Notamacropus eugenii: one gene and its partners. The protein of the gene in region 3 purifies or fractionates together with the protein of the main gene of each other region. This does not show direct contact. Links are inferred from orthologs where the notes say so. Each region holds a gene or a part of one and is shown on either strand. Other genes may lie near its edges.

Region 1 (7,441 bases), about 410 Mb from region 3:
CTCTCTCTCTCTCTCTCTCTCTCTCTCTCTCTCTCACACTGGGGGGGAGGGGGCGCGAGGGCGGTGTAGGGCGAGCAGGAAAAAGAAACCCACTTCATTCATAAAGTCACCCACATTCATAAAACTTGCAGCCGCAATCGCGGCCAATTTTCTCCCACGTTCCCCTTAACGGTGCGGGGTGCTGGCCCCTCTGCATCCCTACAAAAGGATCCTGTCTCCCCGAGGCACCTCCTTCCACATCTAATTTCAGCCCCAAAGTCCCCCAGAAAATGGGGCCTCATAACCAGGCCCCCAAACGCAGCTCCCCAGCCATGGCTCCGAATCTGTGCAACCCCTTCTCCCGATCCCACAACACTTTTAAACTCTCTTCGCCCTCCTGAGGACCCTCCAGCTCGGCGATCACCCCAGTCTACTCCACTCTCTCAAACCTGTGCACCCCTAAATCATACTTCAATCTCAGGCTCCCAGGGACTTCCCCTCAGGCCACGTCTGAAGGTCCCCAACCTTCTCTAGTGCTCCCCAACCTCAGACATCACTGGGCACCCCACCTAATTTCAGGCTCCCCCCAACATCGCCGCAGGCAGCCCAGGAGCACCCAGACTCAACCCCTGGCCCTCCAGGCATCCCCTTGCAAGCTGCCAGAGAAGCCCTCAAACCCTTCTCAATCACTCCAAGAACCCCCAACGGCCCTACGGTGCCCCAAATTCCCATCAAGTCTCAGAGAGCTCTCAATCTCCTTTCAGATCCACTCTGGGAACCCCCTAAACTCCCCGAGTTAGCCCATAGACTCTTCTCAGCCCCCCCTCCAAAAGCCCCCAAACTGGTTCCCTGAGCGCCTCCCAAATCTCCGAGGTCCCCAGAGGCCCCCAAACTACCCCTGGACCTTTCAAAGCCCCCCCCCCTCTCCGCGGTCCCCCGATGCACCCCTGGACAGGAGCCAGGACCCCCTCCCACTGGGCCGTCCCCCCCACCTCACCTGCCCCCCCAGCTGTGCCGGGCGCTGAATCCGTGTCCATGTCCATGACCGGCAGACGCAGACCCGTTACGGCCCCCGGCCCCGTTAGGCCCCGCCCTCGCCGGAGGCGCGGCCCCGCCCCCGCCCGCACCTGGGCGCGTGCCCGAGCCTCACCTGCGCGCGCGCCCGCCGTCGTCCGCGCGCGCGCCCGCCTGACAGAAGCGCTCCGGGCAGGGGCTCCAACCGGCCGGCAGCCCGCCTCCGTCGCCCCGGCCCGGCCCGGCGCTGTCCCGAAGCCCGCCTGCCGCCCGCGCCGCCCTGCCGCCGCTCTCGGGCCGCCTCGCCGCCTAGCTCCCTCGGGCGCCGCAGCCGCCAGCCCAGCGAGCGCAGCAGCCGCCCCCGAACTGGCTGGGCCTCCGCAGCCCCCCGCCGAGCCCAGACCGGCCCCCCTGCTCCCGCCTCTCCGCCTCTCCCATTGGCCCGCAGCCCCGCCCGCGCCCGTCCATCAACGCTTGTTTACCCCTTCTGCGGGCCAATGGCGAGGGGTCGGCACACCAGCCCCGCTGGGGATTGGGCCGACTGCACGTTCCGACCCGCCTCCTCGGCGGGGGAGAGGGGTCCTTTTACATAATTTATGCACCGAGAGCCCGGACCAATCAGCGCACTCTGGTTTACATAATGTGGTTCGGACGTTTTTCATTCATAAAAAAAAGCGACCTGAGGGAGAAGCTTCGCTGAGTCAGTGAAGCCTTTAAAGGGGCCGGCCGAAAGCAAAGACTGGAGGTGAATCTAACGCAGGTTAGCACAGGGTAGGATAGAGACCTGGATGAAATCTGAAAAACCATTTCATCACAGGAATGAGGCCAGAAGATGAAGACCTGGAAGGGATCTTCGAAATGAGAACCCTTCGTTTTTACAGATGGGGAAACTGAGGCTCTGAACGGTTAAATGACATATCCTAGGTCTCACAGACAGGCGACTGGAAAAAATGGACACTTGAACCCACGTGTATAACTCAAGAACAAGCATTTCTTTTCCAAGTGCTCCCCCGCTCACTTCTGTTCTCCCAAGACCCCCCCTACCCTCCTCTAGGGACCCTCCTTGTCTCTGCTTGTTGGGGGTAGGGAGAACTCCTTTTATTTTCCTCCCCTCCCGCCACACTAGAGTGGGGGAGGGGTGGGGGAGAGGGTGGGGACGGGCTGGGGCTGCTCCCTGCTTCCAGGCTCCAAGCCTGGCTTTCATTCACAGCTGCAGCAAACGGTGCAAAGTTATCTCCTGAGAATGGAAGAATTCGTCATTCTAGCCAAAAAAGAAACTCGCTGACCGACCTGGGCGTGTGGCCCACTGAGAAATACACAGTGGGAACCGAGTCACTTACTGGGAATGCCTTTTAAGCAGACCCTTCATTGGGAACCTCGCTTAGGTGGGCATGGGGCAGATTCTCAAAAATCTTCATTGTGGCTCTCTCTTTAATTATAACTTGAGTTCACAGCCAGATTTTAAGTGGTATTCCCCCCCAAAAAAAAATTTAGACAGGGCTGAAAGTCAGAGTAGAGTAGGTGAGCAGGGCTCCCCAAATCCTGTGCTTCTATCACCTTTTATCACACAGGCAAAGGGAGGACCCTGAAATTGGGGGCCAAGAGCCACAGAAGACCTCAGGAGAAGTCTTCAAGCCCTCATTTTACAGTCTCCAGAGAAGGGGAGCGAACCCATAGACTTGCTGCTTACCTCCAGTGTGATCTTGGCACAGTCACTTCCTTTCAATCGCCTTAGTTTCCTCGTCTACAAAAAAGAATACCCAGAAGGCGGGGCGGGAGGGAGAGACTACGTGATCCCCAGGTCCCAAGGCAGCTCAAAAGGTTTACTCTGATCCAGTAATCTTTGCAGAAGTCACACCATAAAGTCAACCAACCATGAATCCCTTGGAAACCGGGCTTGGTAGTTAGTATTCTAGCCTCGCTGGGCTGTTTGTTTGCAATTTAAGGAGTGTGAGATGCCGCATTTTGGAATTCAGTCCTGTACAGCTGGGGAAGGATGGAGAGCCCCCGGGGTCTGCCAAACAAATACGCATTAAGTGCAGTTGCTGGGATTCTTAACGCCATGTTCCTTCAAACAAGTAAACAAATCAGCCTTTTCCCCTCCCCCCAAGTCCCTCCCCAACATGGGGAGCCCACACAATGGTGCAGAGTAAGACCGTGTGGTACTTCTTCCGGCAGGACTAGCCAAGCGCCCGGGATGTATGCTGGGGAGCATGCTGTCTGAGCTCTTCTCCCGGTGTGACTTGGCAAGCCTCCTGACTAGTAACCCAAGAGATGAGGCTAGCTAGCACCCTTGGGAGAGGGAAAAGGGGAGATGGGGAGGCCAACGAGAGACTCCCAGGGCACGAATGCTCAGTCCCCTCACTCATGCCTCTTAGAATACCTAGTTCAGCTCAAGTGCTAACTTTGCACATGAGCTTTTGTCCTGATTCGCCCCACCAGATGCTAGTGTTCTCCCACCCTTGCGTCCAAATGACTTTGTACTTTGCGCTCTCTCTCTCTCTGTGCCTCTCTATCTCTCTTTATATATACTTTGCGCGCGCTCTCTCTCTCTCTGTCTCTCTGTCTCTATATATACTTTGCGCTCTCTCTCTCTCTGTGTCTGTCTCTCTTTACACACACACACACACACACACACACACACACACACACACACACACACACACACACACACATATAAAGAGCAAGTCATTAACCTCTGGAGATAATGACACCATCTGCCTCCCAGGGTGTGTGTGCATAAATGTGTACAGGTGGCTAATGTGAGATCATTTCTGTAAAATATTTTATAAACCTGAAATCACTATGTAAATGGTAGGTATTATTGTTAATACGAACCATAATTTTACATACAATTATTAATGTAATAATCATTATTGTTTATAATAAATCCTTCATTTTTTTAAAAATTCAGTTCCATTCACTCTGGTATACATTGCTTTACTTCTCAAGCATCTTACCTTCCACCCAATTTAAGAGACTCCAGGAGCAATAAACAAACAAAAAATTTCCACCAAAAGCTGCACCCAATGTAACAGGCCTCTCACATTACATGGGCTGTGAGGAGCCAGAAACATCAACCCATCTATACAAATACAGGGAGAGTCAAAGATCTTGTTAATGTAGGGAGACTCTGGTTGGGACCATGAGGCCCTGTTTGAATTTGGGATATTCTAGAGAGTTGCCTAAGTGACACACACAGATTGAATGATTTGCCCAGGGTGTAAGAGGTGGAATTTGAACCCAGAACTCTAGGGCCAACAGAAACAAAGTAAAAGTTGCCCCCATTTTATGCCTCTGGACAACATCTTTTCCCTGCCATTAGCAAGAGCCCATCAGATATGTAGATATGACAGCTTTGGTCATGCGTGCCACCCCCCCCCCACCCCCCCCACCCTCCCCCGCCCCAACAAATCTCTAGGTTAGTGTCTAGAGACCTAGCCATTTGTTGAGTGTACATTCCTGCTACATTGTGACGAAATCTCACAATGTCCTGGTAGGGGAAGTCACCTTGACTTCTCTAAAGCCTCAGTTTCCCCCAATGTCAAACAAAGTGGTCAAAAAAGACCTCCAAGGTCTAACCTTGATATTCTCTGTTTTCTGGTCCCTTCTCATTCTGGCATTCTATACTCTCTGTACCTCCCAGCTCTGACAGTCTGTGTTCCTTCTCTTCTGGGCTGATGTTCTAAGTTCTAAGGGCTCTCTATGAATTCTTTCACCTTACGTTGTAAGGCTTCTTTCTAACTAACATTCTATATCCTAACCATCTCCCTAGTAGGCTGGAAACATTTCTTCCTTCTATTTTGTTTTGTTTTCCACATGTTGTGAATAAAAGTACAGTGTAAAATGAGTGTATTAGATACCCCTTGATCTCAACATATGACTTATCGACCTGGTTTTCTGGACATTGTGGGGAAGTGTTTGTTCAGAACAATGATTTCATCAGACATCTCCCAGAGAGGAAATCCCATCCCCCAGTAAGTAATCCTTCTGGCTTTCTTATCTTGGAGAATTAGTTTTCTGGAGCATCAAGAAGTTAAATGGTTTGCTGGAGGTCACACAGACATATATATATATATATATATATATATATATATATATATATATATATATATATATATATATATATATATATAAAACCATATGCCTGTGTGTATACACATACCACATATAGACACATATACATGTGTGTATATATACATATATGCACACATGTGTGTACATACGTGTGCATGTGTATATACCAGAACTTGACCTCAGGTTTTCTTGACTCAGAAGACAGCGCCTAGATGTGTTACTGACATTCTGTGTTCTACTGTCCCTTTTGGAGTCTGTGATTTAAGGACCCTGCAAGCTCTGGCATGCTTCTCTAAGGCCCTTCCAGCCAACATTCTGTACCCAGTGTGCTTATGACACAGTTTTATGGCCTTTCTTGTGATCATAGGGAGCTGGACGGGAGCTCAAGATTATTTAGCCCAACCTTCTTATTTTACGAATGAGGAAATCTAGACCCAGAGGTTAAGTGACTTGCCAAAGGTCATACTGAACAATCAGGTCTCATAGTATCTTAGGATCAAAGACCTAGATCTATAAAGAAACTTAGAGGTTGTCTATCTACTCCAACCTCTTCATTGTACAGATGAGGAAACTGGGGCCCAGTGTACCTGTACCGTGGTGTCTCTTGCAAATGGGCAAATCCTCACTGTTCAACGCCTCCTTAGTCATTCTGCCCTTTCTCCCCAAATGCCTCCCAGTGACTCTACCCCACCCCCAACAAATGCCTTTATTTCCAGAAGATGATTTCTGTTTTTAGAATTTCCTTGTAGGGCACACACTGAGCCTGTGCTGCAAAGGACATTATATAAACAAGAGATTTCTTTTGCTAAAAAAAAATAATGTGTATCACCTACTAAGAGGTTTGGAAGAGGAAGCAGTAACCTCTATGTGGGACGCCATGTTCTAGCAAAGCTATAAATGTAATTTCTCTTATGTATAAGATCAGTATCGTGGGAGGTTAATGTTTGAAGCTATAAATCCCGTGTATCCATCAAATCAGAAAGATTTACATGACAGAGAAGCATGGGAATAAGTGTAGGGGCATTGAAGAATGCCCAAACTGTGAGTGTGTGTGTGTGTGTGTGAGATTGTTGTTGAACTTGACCAAAGAGAGTATTAGACAAGATTGTGCTTGTCTGAATAACCATCAGAGCTTGCATCAAAGTATGGGGGGTCCAGGATATGTCGAAACACATTTTTCTTCCAGGCATGGGTGCCAAGCCCAGATGCTGATTTCTGCCCCCTCCCACCTTTTGGTGTTCTCCCGCCAGAAATTAGTTTATATTTTGTCTTGAATTTTTATGTACTAGCTGTTTTCCCCCAAGTAGAATATAAGCTTCCTCAGGGCAGGGGATAGTTTGGTTTTATACCCTGAAATCCTTTGTGAGAAAATAGCTTTCACATAGTAAGCTTTTTTTTTGGTTCTTATTGTTAAATTCAGCTGATGTCATGTATCATCTGTGCACACCCATGCAGACCTGTGTGGCTTCTGGATCTGTCCAGCAATGGCAACATGTAAGGTGTATGAGTATATGGAGTGGGGAGCAGAGGGAGGTGATGTTCTTTTGGAAACTCTCAGAGGAATCCCAAAGTACAGGCACCTGGTAGAGAGGCAGTGTGGGGCAGTGGTTTGAGGGAAACAGCATGGAAAAGGAGATGGATATGCAGTCCTCTGACTGCCACCACTACTTGCTGTGTCACCTTGGGCAAGTCACTTAAATCTCATTGGGCCTCAGTTTCCTCATCTGTAAAATGAGGAGGATTGAACATGATGACATCTGAAGTCATTTTCAGCTCCAAATCTAGAATCCTATGATCCCAGGATCACTTCGACTATGTCAGGGGCTGACCATCAGTTAGTAATGGGAAACCTTAAATATTCATTGCGCACAAGAGTGTGTGAGTCATGAAAGAAATGAAACTTGGCGAAGAACAAGTCTTTCAAATTGAGAATCTCATGTTTATTAATAAACTCTCTGTGTGTCTTCTCTGTATCTTCCTTTCTTTCTTTGTCTCTCTGTCTGTCTGTTTTTCTGTCTCTGTGTCTTTGTCTCTCTCAGTACTGAACTTGAAATCAAGGGACCTGGGTTTGGATCTTAGCTATTTCACTTTTGTGTCTCTCACATTACTGACTCTCTTTGGGACCTCCTTGCCTTTACACCTCAGTTTCCTTACCTATACAACTGTAGGGACTAATTTTTCTCTAACATCCTTTTGTACTTTAAATCTGTTAGACACAACCAAGATGGGATTAATCATTTTGAAATGTCACCTAGCTCCATGTTCAAACTCTCCATCTCCTCCCTGTGCTCTGTACGGAGGGGGGGAGGTGGAGAAGAGCAAATTTGACTGTAAATAGCTGTAAATTAATATATATAGTATGTATTGTGTA
Region 2 (7,781 bases), about 110 Mb from region 3:
GAGAAGGTGATAGGGACAGAGGTATATGATTCTGGGTCTGTAATGGTAATTCTGACAGTGAGTGATCTACTTAGCCTACATTTAAGGTTAGGAGAAAAGTGTTACTTATATTATATCCCTAAAGTTCCAGTTATCTAGCTAAAAGTTCTTTTCAACTTGCCCCAAAGTTCGCCTGTAGTTTGGAACCTCCAAAATGTCATCTGAGTAAGATACCCGCAGTTGAGGGGTAATAGGGAGAAGCACCATAGAAATTTCTGTTGTTTCTTCATCACCAAGATGTTAAAATGAAATGAGCTTCAAACAGAATGTTAATCCTTCCAGCCTCCACCATCCAAAATGTTTACAAACAAACCCACTAACATGCCACCAATTTTATCAAAACAAAACTATGGAAATATGCCAACCAAAATAAGATGATCTCAAAGATCCTGTCCACTTCTAAATCTAATATTCTCAGATCTTATTAAAATATATCAATTATCCCTTCCAAAACGCCCTAGGTGAAATACATCAAACAACCACACCCAAATCTAGATTCTACCCTATCAAATACATCTTCTGACCTTAACACAATACATCCATCATAGCCATCAAACCCTCTAGTCTCCGATTGGAAAAAACGGATGGGAGAATGTAACTTGGAAGGTGGAGAGGAGAAAGAGGGGAAAAAAGTAGAAATATCTGATTTATGACCAAGGGAATTTAGGGACAGATTGGGGGGGGGTGTGAATAATTTCAACTTTTTTTCTTCTTTTGTCTTACACACTGAATAGCTGATTGTCTAGTGGGATGGGGGAGGGGGTAGGAAGAATCAGTGTTTTGGAAACTCTGGAAGATAAGTAACAAATTAACTGCTCCTTTCCCCACTCCACCCCCACCCCAATACACACCTCAGTCTTCCTTCGGGGCCAGGCAGACTTTGCAAATGAAAATTTCAACAAGGAAAATGGGCCTGAGGCCAAGTTCCATTCATAAGCAAATACCCCGCACAATGGTCTGATTCATCCCCAGGCCTAGTTACACAAGCTTAGGAGCCCGCTCAGGGCAAGAGAAAATAAATACATCAGTATATATGTCCACACACTCGACTTGGGGGGGGAGGGGGGAAAGGGAAAAGTCGACGAGAAGGAGGTGGTTTGGGGGAGTCCCAAAACTGCGGAAAGGTAGGGGTGGGGGAACAGGGCCAGAGGGAAAGACGAGCAACCACACCCCCCCCAAACTTACCTTCCGTAAGCCAGGTCTCCTGGAATTGGCTCAAGTCCTGGAAGAGATCTGAGGGGTGAATAGATTAAAATGGGATGGGGAGGTGCTGGTGGGGTGGGAAGACCCGAAAGATGAACTCAAAGCGGAGGAGCTCCCCCTTCCCAACCCGCACTGAGGCATAAGGAGTCCACTGAAGTGGGGAGCACTAGGGAAAATAATACTTCTGTCCTTCGAAAGGAAATGCCACAAGTGTTGGGGGGGGGGGGGGTGGGTGGGTGGGAGGGATTACATACTGAGCCCGGGTATTTATTTGGAAGGCCTGGCTGGGGATTGGGAGGATGCGGTGTGGTATGGGATGGGGTAGGGGGAGGTACGGGTCCCCAGAATCTGGCACTTCACCTTCTGACTCCGGGGGTGGCAGGGAGCCAGGGTCCATGAGTTTCCCCTGTGTGACCATCAGAGCTCGGCTCAGATTCCCATTTCCGGGCGATTTCTGGGGGTGGGGGGAGGCGGGGGGGGGAGAGAAGGGCCCAATGGACCCCGAGTCATCCTCTAGAGTGGTGGAATTGGGGGATGGAGATGTATGGGGCGGAGGCAACCAACCAAGGGTGGTCACGGGGCTGGGGCGTGGAGGTCTGAGCTAGGTCCCCGGGGACTGGCAAAGAGCTGGTCCTTGCTTGGGATGCATGGGGAGAGGAGGGGAGAAAGTGGGGGTGCGGGAAAGGTCTCCGGGATGGCCGAGGGGCGAGGAAAGTTGGGGAGGGGTGTCGGAGGAGGCAGGGGCTAGAGGTGCCCACGGTGCCTGAGGGGCCGAGACCCGCGCTCACGCTGGAGAAGGTGTAGGGCACTTGCTGGTCCACGTATCCGCCTTTCATCCTCCGCTCCATTCGGCTCCTCCCTCAGACCTCGAGCCTCAGCCCCACCAAGGTGGGGGGGAAGACCTGGGGTAGGAGTGGGGGGAGGGCGGGAGGAGAGTGGGAACGGGGCTTCGCTCACAGACCGCCCGGGAAGGGGCTTGGGAGAGAGGGGAAGGCCACTGGCTTCAGTTGGGGACCCGAGGTGGGATGGCCAAATTTCTTCACCTCCGGAGGGAATGAGGACTTCCCCACTGCCCGCCAAGTAAATTCCCACCTGCTCTCGGAAGCTTTACAATCCTTCCTTTCCTTTCTTTCGGCAACCCTGGACTGCTGGGATCGGTTACATAAGACTTATTTTGTGTGTGTGTGTGTGTGTGTGTGTGTGTGTGTGCGCGTGTGAGTGCGCGCGCGTGTGCGTGGGGGTGGGGGGAAGGCGACTGATGGACCATCCTCATGCAAGTAACTCAACCCACCACCTCTTTTCTGGATACCTGGGCTCCTGGTCCAGCAACTCCCCTCTGACCTCCAATATTTGCTTCCCCTTTTCTCCCCCACCCAAATCTGCTAAAGCATGTGTATGCACTCGCGATTGTGCGGTGTGTGTGTGTGTGTGTGTGTGTGTGTGTGTGTGTGTGTGTGCGTGTGTGTGCGTGTGTGTGCGTGTGTGCGTGTGTGTGTGTGTGGGCGGGGAATCACTCTTCCTCCCCCTCCCTTTCCCCTCACCCTCACCTGAGGAGGGGGCGTCAGCGTAGTTGCTGCTTTGGGGTCCAGAGCATGTCCCCGGATTGGGAAGTAGGGACTCCGGGTCCGACTCAGAGCAAGGCTTCTTTAGTCCCCAGTCCCAAGCGCACCAACTTGTTTTCCGGCTGGAGCAGACAGTTGTGTGCCCGGGGGACCCCCCGATTGGAGCATTTCCTTCAGCTCGGGCTCAGCTTTCCCCGTTCCCTTTGTTTCATTGACTTTTGTGAATGAAACCCCAGGGCCGGACACGCCCGCCAATCAGGATCGTAGCCCGTCCGAGCCCGGGGGCGGAGTTTCCCAGCAACCAGGACCAATCGGGACGCAAGGCCTGGTTCTGGGCTTCATTCACGGCTTGGGCTCCCATTCATAAAAAAATAAACTTGCTGCTCTAGGAGTTCATTCATAAAGGGCTTCGTGGAAGGGATAGGAGAAGAGCAGCCGAACTGAGAGGGCCCGGGCGGGTTCTCAGCGACGCTTATCCAACAAACTCTGTGATGGAAAGGCGGCGGATGTCTCTGGCTCTGAGATTGTGTGTGTGAGTGTGTGTACACACCCGTCCGGGTTTGTATAGCTGTATAGGTGCGTGCGCAGCGCGCTCCCCACCCCGCAAGAATAAGTGTAAATGTGTGTGAGTGTGTGTGTGTGTGTGTCTGTGTACTTAGATGGAGCGCACAGGTGGCCAGCCAAGCATTCCCCTACAAGGTCCTTGTAAACTCCACAGCCACACTTTCCCTGTCAGTGTTTCCATCTCGTGCCCTAGGGGTTAAAACCTCCAGAAAGGGTTGTTTTGGTGGCTCAGAGGTTCTCTGGCCTTCTTTGGAGCCAGTGTGGGGGTGGGTGGGGATGGGGGGAAGCACCCAGCGGCTGGTGCCCTTGAAGAATGGCCAGGCTTCAGTCGGCAGAAAACAGTGGTGCTACCGGGACTAGAGCTTTGAGGAGGCACAATGGCAATGCCATCTCCCTTCCTGGTGGGGGTGGGGAGTCCAAGTAATTTCAGGGACTTGGACTGGGTGGGCCCAACCCATAACGATGACGTGGTAGGTGGAAGGAAGGAGGAGGTGGAAGATGGGGTGGGGTGGATGTGGATTTTGCCTGCTTTGGGGGCTGCTGGGCAAACGACAAGTATCCCAGGCCAGATTCCAGCCGGGACCCTCTTACTACTCTGCTTTCACCAGAAGTACTGACTCCACTGAAAGCAGTGTGTCCTCCTGGGGCAGTTGCCAATCCAAGGCCACCATAGTGGGAGTGTGGGGAATTTTTTGACCCTGTCTCAGGCTGTGGGAGCGGGATAGGGTGGGGGCGGTGTGGAAGAGGAGAGAAAACTATCACTTGGACACTAGTAGATATTCTCCTGTAGAAATAATGCTGTTTTTTTTCACCTGACCTCTGATATATGGTGCCTATGACTTTTAAAAGGAGCATTTATTCCTTTCTCTGTCACAAAATATATATAGAGAGAGGACCAAAGGGATCGGATTGGGAGTGGGGGGGTCCTTTCCTGAGCGACTATTTGGAGAGCAGAGATGATGTCTGGGCATAAGTAAGAGATTCAAATGTAGCAAACTTTTAAAAAAGTATTAAGTGTAAGGAATGGAGGGGGGGAACAGGAAGAGAGCAAAGATGAGGAGTATCTATAATCCTTTAAGGTTTACAAAGCACTTTCCTCCCAAGAATTCAGAGGTATTGCAAATACAATCCTCAGTAACTTGTTTATAGACGCACATCTTGGTAAATGTCAGTTAGGGGTCCTCTTTACCAATCTTCTGAATTCAAAACAATTGCTCCCCGCAAACTCCTCCTTCCCACCCTCTGCTATAAAGTCTAGAAGAGAGTTTACATTTCCACAACATGTTAAAGTTTTAAAAATACTTTTTATTTTTGAGACATTTTGCTGTTATGTCACATTCATTTGGAAATATATTTTTTTCCCCTTTCCCAGCCAGTCATCCCTATCAACAAAGATTTATAAGAGGAAAAGAAAAGCACTTGCAAAACTATGATGTCTAACAATACATACAATATTCCATACCCATAGCCTTCATATCTTCAATGAAAGGAGGAAAGTAACTCATTATAGGTTGTTTACTAACTACTTTCTGAACAACACCACTATCAAGTAGTTCCTGAATGTTTTATTATGCCCATTTTATGGATGAAGAAACTGAGGCCGTTTGTCCAAGGTCACACAGGAAGTGCCTTTTCGAGAATTTGAACCAAAGTCTCTTGCATTCAAGACCAGTGAGCTTCATATTTCATCTTGCAGTTTTGAAGGGGAACAAAAAATATGAACATAAATCTTTAGCACAAAACAGAATGTGAACAGTGCATCAAAGATGTAAAGAGTGACATTATTCCCCTTTACACTGAGTTTTTCAACTAAACTGATGTATCACTATTCCCAGACTCCACTTCCCACCTCCATGCCTTTTTGCTCAGTCCTCCTCATCTTTAATCCTTAGTACCCCTGCTTCCTGCCAGGCTCAGCTCAGGTCCATGACCTTTTCCAATCCTTTCACGATTCCCCTACTGCTTTCTCTCTCCTCAAACTACCTTGTCTTTACTTATTGGCATATGATGTCTCTTAGTGTTTACCCTCCATTTTGGGAAGAGACTCAGACCTGCTATTCTTCATTCATTCTTTTTCCAGCAGAGACCAGACTCTCAGGTTTTTCTGAAGGAACCTCTTATATTTGTGTGTCCCGTTGCTGAGCACAGTGTCTGATTCAAAGTAAGCACTTACTACTTTCAGGCTCACCCCTTCCTCCATCACTCAGTAAACTCCCTACCTTTGAGGTTCAGACTCTTCATATCTTCCACCCATTCAAAATCTTGGTAGCGCCCCTCATGTCGCTTTCCTTTCTTCCTCAAAGAATTCAATACCTAGCTTACAATTTTTCTTTCCTCCCCAAACTCCTGCCGTCATACTAGGAGATTTAAACATACATATTGATTCTCCCTCTAACATCCAAGCACCTCCCATGAACTAATTCTCCACTCCATCTCAGCCACACACAAAGATGGCCATGCTGTTCATCTTGCCATCACCCACAAATATCCTGCCTCCATGTTCAAGGATTCTGAAGTCCCCTTATCAGATCATAACCTATTGTCTCCATATCTTTCCCCCTGCCTTCCTTTATATAATGCTATTTATTCTTCATTCTCATCATGACTTCAAATCCCTTGATTCCTCAATTTTCTGCCAGGCAGTCTCCCCTGCATTAGCTACATTCTCCTCTTCTTCCCATTATGGCTGCTTGGTGAATCAAATCCACCCTACACTGGCTTCCTCTCTTGAATTCCTAGCCCCCATAATATGTTATACTGATTACCATATTATACCATGATTATCCCATAATATAATATACTGATTATGCCCAGCCAAGCCTCAGCTCCGAATCACTCCCACCATTCACTGCCTTCACACATACTGCTGAAGCAAGGTGAAGAAAATCACTTGACTTTCCACAAATAATGGAATGTGTGGGGTGTTCTAGAGGACTAGCACCTCTGCCATGAAGGCTTACTGAGCCCTCTTCAGGGATACTCATCTACCTTTGGTGTCTGTCTGGCACACAACTCTCACCTGTGTCTCCAAAAGCTGTAGCATGCACAGTCTTGGTAGACAGTGACCTGCTCCCCTGTCAGTGAGTAAGAGGGATGTCTACCTCAAGCATGTGTAGACTTTCCCCCAGTTAAATGAGTGGATGAGAACAATTTGTTCCAGCAGCCATGAAGATGGCTGAAGCAGGTGCTGTGGAGTACTTGGTCAGACAGAGAAGATGCCAATGTCATCCACTGGACCATCACCAGTTGTTCTGGCTTTTGTCCTGTTACTGGACTTTGATGACCCTGGAAGAGAGAGTGAGGCTGAGGACTTTGCGCAACTGCCTCAGTTAAAGCCAATTTATTTATTTAATTTAATTTAATTAATCTAATCCAAATTATTCAAGACATCACCCTCATTGATCCTCTTCAAAATGAAGGACAAATACTAGATAACCTCAACTGGACCGTCACTGCTGATAGGTAATCTTACTACATAATCCTACTATACCTCTCTATCAACTCATTATCCCATTGTCCACAGTCGCCCTTCCAAACTTTCTCTTCCCTGCTCAAACCTCTCATGGCTTCCTCCAGCCTAACTCTCTCAGCTAAGAAATTAATATTTTAGAGACAAAATTTAAACTATTTGCCACAAACCCCTTATTCTCCCCTCTTCCTCATCTCTTATCACTGAAATGCCTTCTGTCACTATCTCCTCCTTCAGGGTTTCACATGATGAAGTAGTCTTACTCCTTACCAAGGGTAATCCCTCTACTTGTTTAAGTGTTCCCATTCCATCCCATCTCATCCCACAGATTGTCTCCTCTTTCTTCCCTGCTCTCACTTATTTTAAGTCTCTCCTCTACTGGTTCATTTCCTCCTCCTCCTCTATTTCCTAACAAACATTGTTCCCCTGTCCTGAAAAAATCCTCATTTGACCCTTCCATCCCTGCTAAGTATTGTCCTCTATCTTTTCTGCTGTTTGTAGCTAAACTCTATGAACAGGTCACCTACAACAAGTGCCTCTCCTTTCTCTCTTTTCATTCTCCTCTTAACCTCTTAGAATCTGACTGCCAACCTTATCATTCCATTGAAATTGCTCTCTCCAAAGTTACTAATGATCTCTTAGTTGCCATATTCAATGGCCTTTTCTCAATTCTCATTCTCCTTGATTTCCCTGCAGCCTTTGTCATTGATGATCACTCTCTCCTCCTTGGTACTCTTCTCTCTGGGTTTTGGGGACCTTACTCTCTCACCACTTTCTCCTACCTGATTGCTTCTCTTCTGTTTCCTTGGCTGGATTCTCCTGCACATCATGCCCTCTAACCATAGGTATCCCTCAGGGTTCTGTCCTAGGTCCTACTCCCTTTATATTATTTCACTTGATCTCATCAGCTCCCATGGATTTAATTACCATTTTTATGTTGTTGA
Region 3 (7,694 bases):
CTTTGTATCCCAAGCTCCTTGCACAGAATAGACACTTAATAAATGCTTGCAGGATTGGGTTGTAAATTCCATGAGAACCGAAACAGTAACTAACTTAAAACTTTGTATCATTCTCTCCAAGTCCTTAGTCCTCTGATCACTGTTTCATTTTTTTTTTTACTTTGTATTACACCAAAGGTCTATAATACCCGGCTTACGAAAGGTGCTTAATAAATGTTGAAGGAAAGAGAGAGTCAAGTCTCACCTCCGAAGCTAACTAGTCATGTGACATCGGCCAAATCACCCAGCCCATCTGAATTCCAGCAGCCTCATTCACTTCCTCCTCTGTCCTACTTTTCATGGTATGGAGGTGACTGGGTTTTTTAAGGTTAGGCTAAAGAAGAACAGGCTTTGGCAGGTCCTATTAAATTGTAAATGCTTCAACTACCAATCTGGAGACAAAAAACCAGCCTGTCAAAATCGGGAGGCTCATCCCCACAAGGCTGGTTATTATTATTGTCAGCTACAGCAACTCATGAAGGCAGTCTACTAAGATATAAATGACTGCAATCTGCATCAGTAGAAGGATCATTGTTATACACGTGATTATACAAATGTAAGTCATTAAAATCAACCTCCAAATTCCACGACAATCATCAATCTAGACAACTTTAGTTATCATTGTATCAAAACTACAGACACTGAAGAGAATCCCAAATTCCAAACTGCTCTTTATGTAACAATCACTTCTCTTTGGGGGTGAAGCCCAACTGCCCCATGCCCCTCCCCCCAAAAAAACCAACAACCATGGCTATTAATTGCCACAGATAATTTGAATCACAACCATCCAACCTCTAATAACTTATATACAGTGGAGAAGGCAAGAGGGATAAGTATTTATAAAGAACCTACTATGTTCTTCTATCCTAAGTACTTTTTTACAAATATTATCTCATTTGATCATCACAACAATCCTGACAGGATTGAGGTGGGTAACCGAGAGGTAGGTGCTTGTTATTACCTCCATTTTACCGTAGAGGCAACTGAGACAAACAGGTTAAGTGACACACAGCTAGTGTCTGTGGCTAGATTTGAACTCAGGGCTTCCTGAGTCTAGGCCCAGCCCTCTACTCCCTGTGCCAACAGTCGCCTCAAGCCACACTGGACTGGAATCAGAATCTGGTTTCTTATCACAGTTCTCATGATTACTGGCTGATGGACAGTGGGTGAATCATTTCACCCATGTGAGCCTCAGTTCCCTCTTGTGCAAAATGGTAATACTACTTCTTATACTACTAAACTCAAAAGGTTTTGGTATCATCTTTTCTACCTTCCCAGTCTTCTTACACTTTTACTCTTCTTCAAGAACTCAAGCTGGCCTATTTGCTGCTCTTCACATATGATGAAGCTCCATCTCTCAGTGCTTGCAGTGCACTCTCTTACTTCCATCTCTTGAAATACCTGGAATCCTTTAAGACTCCACTCAGTATCATTTTCTGTGTGCCTTTCCTGATTCTCCCTAACCACTATTTCTCTCCCTACAAAAACCACTTTCAGTTTGTTTCGTGCATACTTGAATATGGGCATGTGCACATCTCCCCATTAGACATAAGCTCCATGAGGACAGAAACAGTTTCTTTCAGGTTTGTTTTTTTTTTTTTTACACTTCACCTCCAATGCTTAGCACAGGCCCTCGCACCTAGATGCTTAATAAACACTTTATGATAAATCTTAAAGTGCTACAAACTGTGTTTAACATCATGTACAATATATGTGGTACACTGAAATACACCTAAGACATTAAAAGATAGTTTTTCATTGACTTCAAATACGCTAATAGTCTCACTGGCAAGATTCACTGTACACAGACGATGAATATGAGTTAATAGTGAGTAGTGATAGATCCTGTACATTTGTGTATAGCTTAAACAATGCTTAGCCCATCTACAGGTAATCAATCAGTCACTCAGTTACCATTTATGAAGCATCGCGGATATTCCCGGGCACTGTTGTTAAGCACTGGGGATACAAATAACAGCAAAAAAATAGTCTACTTTCAGAAAGTTCAGTCTAACGGCACTCCATATCCCTTTCACTTAGAGCAATTCCAACGCATTCTCTCTAGTCACCATCCCCTCCATAAACTTAAGGTTGCCCAAAGAGTTCACTGCCATTCCAAGGGCCTCCATCCTCACTCTCAAACTTCACCAGAGACGCCCTCCCACACTTCAATTCCATTCAACAAGTCTGGGAGCTCCTACGCCTGGTACTTGCTGAACTGGGAGCTCTGACTTCCTCACTCCTTCCTCTTAATCCTTCTTCTGCCCTCCCGGTGTAACTCGCCACCCACCAGGGCTGCCCCCCAGGGAGGGCCCCCGGACCGCTGGGCATCACCTGCTCCCCGCCGATCCCACCCATCCCAGCGAGAGAAGGGGAAGAGGAGGAGGGATGCTTCTCCACGCACCAGACGAAGTCGTTGCTTTTGTCCTCGTACGAGTTGATGAGCCCGTTGCAGAGTGGGGTGTGCAGAGGCCGCTTCCTGCTGCCGCCGCCCGAGCTGCCCCCGCCGCCGCTGACGGCGCTCCCGGGCCTGGCGGAGCCCCCAAGCCGGGAGAGGCCCGCGGCCAGGGCCCCGCCGCCCCCGCCTCCTCCGCCGCCCGAGCCCGACACGGCGGCGGCCACTAGCAGAGGCCGTACGGCGGCCCCGAGGCCCCCCGAGCCGGCGGCCCCGCTGGACCCCGCCGCGGCCACCACCGCCGTTAGGGACGGGGGCGACGGCGACGACGACGACGAGGACGACGACGACGAGGCGGAAGTGACTGAGGAGGCCGCGGAGGAGCTGGGCCCTGTCCCGGCAGCGCCGGGACCAGCCTGGCGGCTGCCGGACATCGTAACCCCCCCTTCCCCGGGCTGGGTACTCGGAGGAGAGAACGAGGGACCGGGGACCGGGACCCGCCGCCGCCGCCGCCTCCCTGCAGCTTCAGTGCATCCTGAGGACGCGCACAGCGCAGGGGGCGGGGGCTGCCACCGGGGAGGGAACAATAAAGTTGTTTAAAAAAAACCGAACACAAACGGCGGCCCGCGGGAGGAAGCCGGGCAACTCGAACACCGGGAGGGGGAGGGAGGGGGAAAAATGCGCTCTCGAGGCCGCAGCTCCCACCCCGAGTCCTGCGGCAGCCAACCCCGAGCGAGGCCGGCGAGAGCGTGCGCACGCGCACTCTAGACGGAGGCCGAGAGAATGGGGAGGGCGGAGGAAGCCCGAGAGGTACAACTTTATTGGCAGCAGCCTCCGCGCTCATACACACAACACACACCCATGGCGGCGGCGACCACTGCCTAGCTACGGAAGAATTCCTTGTTGAAAGCTTTATTGATTCACGACGTACAGCAGAAACTGGAAGTGGGGCCGGGGTAGGAGGGCAGTGAGCAAGGGGCGGGGAGAAGAGAAGCGCCCAGAGTAGAGAGTGGTCCACAGTGCCCGAGCCCAGGCAAGCGAATCGGCCAACGATTGCGCAAGCGCATTACGAACCGAGCATATCCTCATTCCTAAGAGTGAGGAGACCTAGAGGGGAGTCTGTGGTACGGGGTGGTTTCCGACACTGCGCGTGCGCAGGATTCCCAAGCATTCCTGAGGGAGGAGAGGGGGGAGGAGGAGGAGGAGGAGGAGGGCAAGGACCGAGAGTCAAAAAGGAAAGTTAGCTGATGAAAGCGGGCGGAATGTTCCAGCGGAGAAAGCGAGACTCGGTACAGAGCCAAAGATGCCTTCAGTGGTGGAGAGGGTGCAATTTCAGTTCCACTCACATCTATGGTGGAGCTGGCAATTAGAAGACCTGCACTCCAGTCCACACCTCTGCATCCTCCTCTGCGCCTCCGGGCTTCCCTGAATCCCTTCAAGTCCCCAAAGAACTTTCTACAGGAAGCCTTTCCTGATTTCCCCTTAATTCTACTCCCTTCCTCCTGTGGATTATCTCCAATTTATCCTTTATGTTGCTTGTTTGCATAAATTTATTGATATGTTGTCCCCTCCATTACAGTATAAACTTCAGGAAAACAGGGGTTGGTAGGCAGTTGCCTACCCCAGAGGGGGTATTTAATAAATGTTTATTGACCAAGCCTCTCACCTCGCTTCTCTGGATGGACCTCATTTTTATCATCTGCTAAACGAGGGAATTGGGCTAGATCCTTTTCAAGGCCAACTTTTCTTTGATCCTCTAAATAGAGTTTTCAGTTTTTAACGAACCCTGTTCAAAGTTTGTGGAAGACCTTAAGAGTCCTCTAGGTGCTTGCCCTAGGAAAAGCAAATTTCAGGAGAGGTGAGGCCTTGGTTGGGCATGAGTGGGAAGGCCCAGCAACCCAGGCAGTCATCTGGACTGCCTTTATGGAAACTACATTGTTACAAAGGTAACACCCAATATCTTCGGACACACCTGCCCAACCTACTACCTACTTATTGAGCCAAACCCAAGGATTACGGATTAACCCCAGCATTCAGGAGTAACGAAATACCAGCCATATTCTTTCAGAATCTCAAAAATACCTAAATACCACCTTAACTACAAAGAAAAATATTATGAAATTAAAATATAGCTGCTTGTCATCATCGACAAATTTACATATGCCACTGATGGAATCATACCAGTCTGCTCTAAAAAAGTGAAACCTTTGGCAACTACATCAGTTCTTAACATGAGGTTAATATATAGATTCCAGAAGGTTCATAGATTGGTTTAATTACTATTTTGACCACTTATTTCATTATAATTGCCTTCCTTTGTAACTTTATGCATTTAAAACATTTTGAGAAGAGGTCCTTACCTTTCCCCAGACTTCCAAAGGGTATCCATCACACATACACATACACATGCACATACATACACAAGGCTAAGAACCCTTAAGCTGTGAAGTGGTTTGGTTAATATAATCTTTTAACACCAGCACCATAAATGGATCTAATTGTATAAAATCCTTAAATTTTGAGATGAAACTTTAGTACTGCTAAAAAGCAGTTTCTTGAACAAAAGTTTGTTTTATAGAAAATACAGTGGATATTTTATAAGTCAAATATAAATTAATGCTAATTAAGTTGAATATAAAACTAAATCTAAGTATCCTCAGCTAATATTTTATTGAAAAGTTATTATAGACCTAAGGCAACATGCTGGATATTGGGAATAAAAAGCTTTTCCTTCAAGGAACTTGATATATGTAAGGATACATGAGAAGAAGGAGAAGGAGCCATCAAATGAGTTGTACAAAGAAGTAACTGGGACAGTCAGCTAGCATTTAGTGCCCACTCTAGGCGTGGAATGTTGCATACATTTTCACACAGTCCAGTCAATTCAGCTAGTATTTATTAAATGCCTTCTGTGTGCCAGGCACTGTACTAAGCAGTGGGGATGCAAAGAAAGATAAAAGACAGTCCCTACTCTCAAGTCTAATGGGGAGACAATATGCCAGTAAATAAGTGAATTACAAGACTTAGGATAAATTGGAGATAATCAAGGTTTGAAAGCATAACCATTAAATGAAATAGAAAAAGGCTTCCTGCAGAAAATGGGTCTTCAGATGAGACTTGAAGGAATCCAGAAGGAGATGAAGGAGAGAGTTCTAGACATGAGGGACAATGACAACACTGAAAGCAGAGAAATGGGGTGTCGTTCAAGGAACTGCAGGGAAGCTGGCATCACTGGTTCACATGGTATGTGGAAGCAAGTGAAAGGCATAAAGGACATCCATACCAGGCAGTTACCTCTTCTGGGAGAAGGTGAGATTTGAGTTGGACCTTGAAGAAAGTAGGAGACTTAGATAAATGAGGAAAAGGAGAAAGAAAAATCTAGCTAAGATTGTACAAAATTGAGATTGTGCATGGTGTTTCAAAGAGCAGTAGTGACAATTTTGACAATAGTAGAGGATTCATTTTAAAGCTGAAGAGATAGAAAAAGGCCATACTGTGGAAGCCCTTGAATGACAGACTAAGCAGTTTTAATTTATCTTCTAAACATGACAGTAGTGGGGGATAGCTAGGGGGAAGGTATCAAAAAAGGGCAAAGATAAACAACGTATTAAAAATATTGACAATTGGTTGTAGAATAGATGAGGATGGGGGGAAAGGTGGAAAGAATTGAAGGCAGAGAAAGCTGGTAGGAGACAATTACCATAGGAGGCTAGGGGTCTTGACAGTGAATATACAATTAAAAGGGGTCTAGTCAATTAAACAGACTTTAAGGAGAGAAACAAATCAAGGAAAATTTAGTAACTAATTGGATAGTGGGGGAGAAATAAGGAGAAGTAAAAAATTACTCCCAAGGTTTCAAATTCACATAACTGGGAGAATAATGGTACCTTTAACAGAAATGAAATTCCAAAGTAGAGAACTAGTTAGAGGGGAAATGATAACTTTAACTTAAACAGATTGAGTGAAGTTAAAAGTGACAAGGTGAGGATACAAGTCATGCTGCCTAGCAAAGAGGATGAAGTTCAAAACAAATAAAAAAGACTAGTGCTAGAGATGAAGAACAGGAAAGGTTCATAAGGTAATAGAATTTAAGATTGGGAAGGCCTTAGAGATCATTTCTAAATCTCTCCTTTTAGAGTCATGATTAACAGGACATAATTTGACATATTCCCTGAAGTCATGATTCATGGAACATAATTTGACATATTAAATTTGATATATTCCCTGGCCTGTAATTGGAAAATTGTAAGTATAATTATTGTGAAGGAAAGCAACAAGGGACCAACTAATACATTTAAGGAAATTTGTCATTGTCCTTATCAATGCTTATTCAAATGCCATCTTCATTCATTCAGAATTAAGATCTCAAAGGAAATGAGTGAATGGGATACAACCCCATCTTCCTTTTCAGCTGGAAAAATGTACAAAGAATTTAGTGCTACATAATTCTTATTATTTTTGTTGGCAAAAGTTTTTCAACATGAAAGCAGATTTTGAAATGTGAGAAAGCAGAAGGGAAAACCTCAGAGTCACTAAACAGGAAAGTACAAAAAAGGAACTCAGAAACACAACAAGAAAGGAGGAATAAGGAGAGTAGAGGGTGAAATAAAAGAGGTATATGAGAATAGATTCAATAAGAACAAAAAAAAATGAAAAAATGTTCCAAAAACAAAAGATAGTACACTATAATGAATCTTGTGCCATGTATGATTAAATCACAAGTCTTTTAATAATGGCCCTCATCTATTCTTTTCAGTGTTCTAAGGTTATCAAAGTGTGAAGCATGAATGCATGCAGTCCCAAAGTCCATTGCTTGAAGCACAGAGTCCTTATTGGGGGAGATGAATACCCAACCCTACAAGGTAACATTAAGAGCTCTCTCTCATCCAATCTTCTTTGGGATTCTCAAAGCTTCCCCTTACTTTGCATGCTCTGTCTTCCAGCTTTGAGAAGGAAAATGGAAGAGACCAACTATACTCAAGATTGATGAGAAAAAACTCTGGGAAAACTTGAGAGGAGCTCGCAGACTCTATCATGTCCCTATCCCTAGCTTGCTACCCTAGCAACTTCAGAGTTTCTCCTTGGGTGAGATCCAGAATTCTCTCTCTTAGTTGAGCTGAGTTATATTACTCCCAGTAGGAGAGTGCCTTCGCTACATGTTGTCTGGTATATGTTCTCCTGTGTATACTTTTGGTGATTTCTGTTTTGTTATAATTTAGATAAATTGGGGGTTTTTTTGCTGTTTGCTGTGGATGTTCAT
Region 4 (7,152 bases), on a different chromosome or scaffold from region 3:
TTAAACAGAGCTCTCCCCCAATACTGGTGGTCGTCAAACTCTGCTAATTAGCAATGCTGAGAAATTCCAGTTAACAAGGACATTCTCCTAGACTGCGGGTTCCCTGCCGCTCGCCTTCATTTCCATAAGAAGATTAAGAGTGGAGGGGAGCGCTCTCAGATGCAGATGCAGAAACGAAGCGTCTCTTAACGAGCATCGTAATAGTAAGATGCTAGGCTAGTTCTCACCTAATTACCGCAAGTTAAACCTCTATTTGCCGCTAGGGAGAAAAAAATAGGTCTGCGGTTCTTTCGACGAACAAAATTGTTTGATAGCTTTAGATGTGTTACTGCTGGGATGGGGGGGGGGGGGGGGGGGGAGGGTGCAGGAGAAGGGAGTGGACACGCAGAAATAAATAAACTTAAATTAAAAAGTTAGATTTCCACTTACCACAGGAAGTTGTTTCTTTGGGGGATTCTAAAGGGCTTTTACCTAGGGCCGATCCCAGAACTGAAGGAAGACAAAATATTCCAGGAGCTTCTTCCCCGCCCTCTCCTACACCCCAACCTTTTAAACTAATCTATCAATAAAAGTATGGAAGAGTTATTTCCCGTCCTTTGGGAGGAAGAGGGGGAGGGGGAAGGGAAGGAAAGAAGGAATATTTCTATCCTGTTTCCTACACGCATTTTTCCGTTTCCATAAATTATACCAAAGACAACATGAAAAAGAGTCCTGAACGAAGAGCCCTGTCTTAAGTCTCATTCTCTTCCTGAGGAGTGCGTGGAGGGTGGTTATTAGCGATGCAGCAGGCTAACAGGAAGGACTGTGGGACTGGGGCGCTTGCTCCAGCGTGTGGGGTTGGAGGTTAGGAGTATTTAGGGCTGAGTGATGGCCGTGAGTTTCAATGGTGTGGCCAGGGATTCGATTTCGTAAATATACATGTCGTCAGAAATCTACTGGGAAAAGGGGTTTCCGCGCCCTCAGTGGCTCCTGATTTTCCTGAGCACATTATTCTCACGCCTGAATGCCAGCGACAGTTAGTTGTACTGCGCGGATAAGTCAAACGCGCTTAATTAAAACAAAGCTGAAAATAAATGCAGCCAATGAGGACCCAATTGTGACGCATTTTCTCCCCCGCTCATTTATGTGATCAACGCAATTAGCTGAGGCCGAAGCCAGCCCCTTTCACCTCTTAAATGCATTATTATAGAGTTCAGGCATAAATGCATGCAATCTGGTTATCAGAGGTGGGGGTGGGAAGGAATCTTCCGGCTGTCTCAGTTGAGCGAGCCCCAACTCCCTATTGCCCATCCCGAGAAGACCGGACAAATGCACTCGGGTCTCCACGGGCACCAGTTATCAATTTCTAGCAATAAACCAACCCCCACCCATGGCTACCCCCACGGCAACCTACCTCCGGCCCAAACTTAATTAAGCTGCGAGATTAGAGGAGGGAGGGGAAGAAAGGACCCGGGGGTGGGGGAATGATGTGATCAAGCGCACACACCCAGAAGAAGAGGCGCCCCTAATTTTCACCCTCCCTAATTTTAGCCCAAGGATTAGACAGGCGTTAAGTAGTTGAGTAAATTGAATCAGACTCTTACACGCCTCTGAGGGACACACACCAATCTGTTGATAAAAATTACTTGTAATTAATTTTGCTTCTCACCACCCCACCCATCCCTCCTTCTTTAGGGAGAAGATGAAGATTGCCTAACGTTTTTTTCTTTTTAAAATGAAAAGCGCGATTCTTGGGGAAAACTCGCGCCAGTAGGGGGCGCACCAATCCCGTCCCTGAAACCCGTGGCGCAGAAAAGCCTGTGGCAGCCACCTCGGGCAGGGCTCCAGCTCCAGCTCCTGGCTCCTGCAGCCCCTCCCTGCGGCCCCGACCGCCCCCCCCCCCACCTCACCCCCACCTCCGCCTCCAACCTCCCTAATCATTCTTCCCATCCTCCTTGGCCTGGTCTCTGGGCGCGTTGGGGCACCTCTCATTCCATTGTAAAGCAGACAGTCCCGGGGGTCCCACATCCCCCTCCCCCTTTCAAAGGAGCCCAGGCTTTATAACTAAGACCCAAACTTTAGAAAATAAGTTGGAAGTATTGCCCCCACCCACTTTCTTTGAAGAGATAGGGGGGCTAAATTTAGAGGAATTCTGAAAGTGCCCCCCACACACATCGATTTCATGACTTACGCCTCCCCCCCCTCCCCACAATTTTCCAAGTTAGTTTACGAGAGAAGAGTACAGAGCGGGGCGGGAGGGGGTGGGGGGGTGTAATGATGGAAGGGGAGCCGCGACTTCTCTTCCTCCACAGTAATTCGGACTTATGCTGAGTGAATTAATGCAATAAAGGGAACGTGGCCGGGGAGCTAGCGATCGGTACATTTGCCTACCAGTGAAGGGCGGAGGACCGAGGGGAGTAGGGTAGGGTGTTAAAGGAGAAAAAAATAAATAACCCTGATGGTTTAAGTCCTTTATAAGCCACAAATAGCATGAGGTTGCTGCTTCTTTTTTTCTTTTGTAGTCAAGTGCATTTTAGCCACAAAGATCGCAACAAGAGAGTGGAAGGAAACTTAGACCGGGCTTTGTTTGCCTGCGTGTAGTGACAACAACAGAAACAAAACTACCTATTTGTAACGGACGTGCTCCCATTTCTCTACGCATTGAGCTCCTACCTATTGAAATCTTTACATCGGGACAATGGGAGAGCGGCTAAAATTACCCTCCTGGGTCCGCGGCGAGCAAGATTCCCGAGACCCTCCAGTCCAGTCCCCCTCCCACCTACCCCCTCCCTTCTCGTCCTGTCTCTTCTCCACTCCTTCCTCCCTTCCCCCCTTCCAGGTTTTTTGTCCAGAGCCTGCTCCCTCCCCTCTCCTGACCCTGAATGGGTCTGGCAGACCTCACCCCACCCTGACCTCTCGGCCCCGGGGAGCCCAGTCCCAAGCGCACTGCTGAGCCAAAAGAAGGTGGGGAGTGTAGTGCAGACTTTGGGGGGAGTGAGCGACGGGGACAAAAGGAAAGGGTGATAAAGTTTGGCTTGTGGGAACTGTGTTGGAGGCGCTTAAAAACCATAGCACGTTAGAACTTGGGAGTTGTGTTCTGTCTGATCTCAGGTCCGAGTCTGAACTGACGGCACGTTCATCCAGCTCCTTTCTTCCTCTTCTTGTTTCCTTCTTTCTGTCTCCCTCTTCTTTCCCTCCTCCTTCGTTTATTAGAGTTATGCTTCTCTCATTCCTTATTTGAAAGGGACACTGAAATTCTTCTGATAGGCTTAAGAGAAAGGAGGGAAGAGGAGGAGAATGAGGAATATAGGGCTAGGGTTTGTGGCTTTTTTTTTTTTTGCTTTTCCTCACGGTTTGAATGGATTAAGGATTGGGAGGGTGGGGGTGGGGCGGGGCCATAGCCAGGGGAAGGGGGGTTAGGGCGAAGTAGGAGCAGGAGGAGAATGAATTAGATATGAGATACCTACAATTTCTTGATAACAAAGCCTATATAGGAAGAAAAGTGGTGTCCCGGCAACGAGGGATGGATGCATTGGCCTGAAACTTGACAGGAATGAGCTTACAAATATTTTCTAAACATGGAAGGAAAGTGAGAGCGAAGATGGTCTCGGGACTACTACTTTTCCAACTTCTTTGCAGAAACCACAGTGAGATGAAAAATACCAGAGAGGAAAGCAAGCTAAAGGGACAAATTGGACCTTCGTGTGGGGGTGGGGATGATGGAGGAGGAGAACCTGTAGCCCGGTGGGCCTGGCAGCTAATTCCGTAGTTCTAGGTAAAGTGCCTAGGGGAGGGGAAAGAACAAGGGTGGGCACACCAAATCTCTATGACCCTTTTTGGAAATACTAATGGGAGACTTAGATTAAGAGGCCCCTGCACCCCATCACTACTCAATCTCCTCCTTCGTCCAACCCTCAACTCCCCAAAATCAATACCAAGTTTGAGGGGGGAAAAGCCCAAGGCGGCCACAGTGCTGTTCACCCTCTTCCTCCGAAAAGGCGTGTGGTGTGACCTGTTGCAGCGAGAGGGATACAAAGGTTTCTTAGTGGCTGGCTGGCTGGCGGTGGGACCCGCCTCCCCCTCCCCCAGGGCCGCCGAAGGCTCCGCGGCGCGGAAAGCCCCGCCCCCTTTCATGCAAAACCAGCCGGAGAGGCTTGTCCTGTGTGGAGGAGCCCGAGCGCGCTGATTGGTCCGGGAAAACCCATTTATTCCCTGACAGCCCCCATCACATGGATGGTTGTCTATTAACTTGTTCAAAAAAGTCTCAGGAGTTGTCAAGGCGGAGAGGAGAGTGTTTGCAAAAGGGGGGAAAGTAGTTTGCTGCCTCTTTAAGACTCGGAGGAGAGAGAACAAGCGAGAAGAGAAGGAGAGCGAGAAAGAAAGAGAGGAAGAGAGAGAGGGGGAGAGAGAAAGAAGTTTTGAGCCCCGGGCTCAAAGGAGCGTTTCACCCAAATAATAATAACAATAATAGCGGCGGCGGCGGCAGCAGAAATCGAAGCCAGTGGAGGAGTTTTTCTTCCTGATCTTGCTTCCAGTTCGTCTTCTTGCTCTGCGTTTTTAATCGCTCCTCATCTTATTTTTCTGGAGACGCGCGCTCCCGACCCCCCCACCCTTCTCCTCCCCTCCTCCCCTCCCCCCGCCCTCGGGCCCCCCGAAAAGTCTCGCCGGCCAGTCCGGGACGCCCGAGGCCGGCCCGGGGAGGTCGGGGGCCCGCGGAGCGCGCGATCCAGGAAGCAGCGCGATGTACAACATGCTGGAGACCGACCTCAAGCCTCCCGGCCCGCAGCAAACTTCGGGGGGCGGCGGTGGCGGTGGCGGCGGCGGTGGCGGCGGCGGCGGCCCTAACTCCACGTCGGCGGGCGGCACGAACCAGAAGAACAGCCCGGATCGCGTAAAGCGGCCCATGAACGCCTTCATGGTGTGGTCCCGCGGGCAGCGGCGCAAGATGGCCCAGGAGAACCCCAAGATGCACAACTCGGAGATCAGCAAGCGGCTGGGCGCCGAGTGGAAGCTGCTGTCCGAGGCCGAGAAGCGGCCCTTCATCGACGAGGCCAAGCGGCTGCGCGCCTTGCACATGAAGGAGCACCCGGACTACAAGTACCGGCCGCGCCGGAAAACCAAGACGCTGCTCAAGAAGGACAAATACACGCTGCCCGGCGGCCTGCTGGCTCCCGGCGGCAACAGCATGGGCGGCGGCGTCGGCGTCGGGGCCGGCGGCCTGGGTGGCGGCGTCAACCAGCGCATGGACAGCTACGCGCACATGAACGGCTGGAGCAACGGCGGCTACGGCATGATGCAGGAGCAGCTGGGCTACCCTCAGCACCCGGGGCTCAACGCGCACAACGCGGCGGCCGCAGCAGCTGCAGCGGCCGCGGCCGCCCAGATGCAACCCATGCACCGCTACGACGTGAGCGCCTTGCAGTACAACTCCATGACGAGCTCGCAGACTTACATGAACGGCTCGCCCACCTACAGCAGCATGGCGTACTCGCAGCAGGCCGCCCCCGGCGGCGGCGCTGGCGGAGGCGGTGGCGGCGCCATGGCCCTGGGCTCCATGGGCTCCGTGGTCAAGTCAGAGGCCAGCTCCAGCCCCCCCGTGGTCACCTCGTCGTCGCACTCCAGGGCGCCCTGCCAGGCCGGGGACCTGCGGGACATGATCAGCATGTACCTGCCCGGCGCCGAGGTGCCCGAGCCCTCGGCGCCCAGCAGACTTCACATGTCCCAGCACTACCAGGGCGCGCCGGTGCCGGGCACGGCCATCAACGGTACGCTGCCCCTGTCGCACATGTAAGCCCCGGAGCCCGGCAGGGCAGGAACATTTTTTTTAAGGAAAAGGAAAAAAAAGACACAAAGAGACTGTATGGCATAGAGAAGGGGGCCCACCGCACCACGGGATGGGAGGGGGGGGAAATTCCCCACCATCTACAGCAATGACAACTGCGAAGAGGAACTTAGATACACACACGCACACACACACACACACACACACACACACACACACACACAACACAACAAAACAAAAACCCAACAGCCACGGCAACACCAAGAAGAAAACTTTTATTGAGAGATTCCGGACTTCTTTTTGGGGGGGACTATTTTTGTACAGAGAACTTGGGGGAGGGGGAGACAAGGGGGGCCTTGTATAGATCTCTGAAGGGAAGAAAACTACACAAAACTTTTTAAAAAGTTCTAGCGTGGACGGTAGGAGCTTTGCAGAAAGTTTGCAAAAGTCTTTACCCATAATATTTAGAGCTAGTCTCCAGGTGACGACGAAAAAAATGTTTTAATATTTGCAAGCAACTTTTGTACAGTATTTATCGATATAAACATGGCAATCAAAATGTCCATTGTTTCTAATCTGAAAATTTGCCAATATTTTTCAAGAGTCTTCTTGCAGAATTTCCGATCACTGCAACTGGGATTTGGGGCAGTTGCAAACAAGAGAGGAGGGAATTAATTTCAATTTGGACATTTTAATTGTTTAGAAATTGTACAAAAGGAGAAAAAATTTAGGATACTTGCAAAAAACCATTTCCGTGCTTTTCTATAAAAGGGCAAACGTTTAGGTTGTACTCATTTTTTTTACTTATTGTTAAGAAGGAAAAAAAAGCAAAAGCTGGCCCCTCCACACAGGCTGCCATGGCTGATAATTTATAATAGCATTTATTTCCAAACTTTTCATTCTGTTTCAATTTGAACACAAATTAAAAAAAAAACAAAAACAAAAAACCCAGCAAGAGCGACCTGAAATTACTGTGTTTGAAATATTTTCTTATGGTTTGTAATATTTCTGTAAATTTATTGTGATATTTACGGTTTTTTTTTCCTCCCTCATTTTTGGTAGTTGTATTTTAAAAACTCGGCTGACTCTGTGTTTCTTTAAACCAGTCTGCCGAGAGTCCATGTACATATATTTGAACTAATCCCGTCCTTATAACAGGTACATTTTCAACTTAAGTTTTTATTCCATTATGCACAGTTTGAGATAATAAATTTTTGAAATATGGACACTGAAATTCCATTTGCGTCTTGGATTTCTTTGGAGAAGACAATGGCGTTGCTTGGAAGTACTTGGGGGTACTAAAATGCCAGGCTCCTTAGAGTGGTCTTAGCAAAAAGAAAAATAACAAAATAGACTCGAGGTGTCCACTGCCGGGCACCAGGTCTAAAAAT

Evidence for each region.
Region 1: the proteins of COP1 (region 3) and ETV5 purify together in Homo sapiens (affinity purification with mass spectrometry; 6 studies listed by BioGRID and IntAct, counting the BioPlex papers as one, with this or other methods). This does not show direct contact. The link is inferred for Notamacropus eugenii from reciprocal best matches to the Homo sapiens genes COP1 and ETV5.
Region 2: the proteins of COP1 (region 3) and ETV4 purify together in Homo sapiens (affinity purification with mass spectrometry; 5 studies listed by BioGRID and IntAct, with this or other methods). This does not show direct contact. The link is inferred for Notamacropus eugenii from reciprocal best matches to the Homo sapiens genes COP1 and ETV4.
Region 4: the proteins of COP1 (region 3) and SOX2 purify together in Homo sapiens (affinity purification with western blotting; 3 studies listed by BioGRID). This does not show direct contact. The link is inferred for Notamacropus eugenii from reciprocal best matches to the Homo sapiens genes COP1 and SOX2.

What each region holds. Positions count from the first base shown.
Region 1 is NC_092873.1:55,502,744-55,510,184, reverse strand, and holds the start of ETV5 (ETS translocation variant 5), read right to left. Parts: upstream 3,013-7,441; 5' UTR 2,684-3,012; intron 1,331-2,683; exon of another isoform or gene 1,130-1,330; intron 1,082-1,129; exon of another isoform or gene 977-1,081; intron 1-976. UniProt on the Homo sapiens protein: Binds to DNA sequences containing the consensus nucleotide core sequence 5'-GGAA.-3'.
Region 2 is NC_092873.1:359,872,548-359,880,328, forward strand, and holds the start of ETV4 (ETS translocation variant 4), read right to left. Parts: upstream 3,018-7,781; 5' UTR 2,790-3,017; intron 2,443-2,789; exon of another isoform or gene 2,335-2,442; intron 2,145-2,334; 5' UTR 2,091-2,144; coding exon 2,031-2,090; intron 1,697-2,030; coding exon 1,603-1,696; intron 1,273-1,602; coding exon 1,225-1,272; intron 1-1,224.
Region 3 is NC_092873.1:470,079,786-470,087,479, reverse strand, and holds the start of COP1 (E3 ubiquitin-protein ligase COP1), read right to left. Parts: upstream 3,020-7,694; 5' UTR 2,869-3,019; coding exon 2,444-2,868; intron 1-2,443. UniProt on the Homo sapiens protein: E3 ubiquitin-protein ligase that mediates ubiquitination and subsequent proteasomal degradation of target proteins.
Region 4 is NC_092877.1:342,641,514-342,648,665, reverse strand, and holds SOX2 (transcription factor SOX-2), read left to right. Parts: upstream 1-4,143; 5' UTR 4,144-4,720; coding exon 4,721-5,770; 3' UTR 5,771-6,995; downstream 6,996-7,152. UniProt on the Homo sapiens protein: Transcription factor that forms a trimeric complex with OCT4 on DNA and controls the expression of a number of genes involved in embryonic development such as YES1, FGF4, UTF1 and ZFP206. Binds to the proximal enhancer region of NANOG.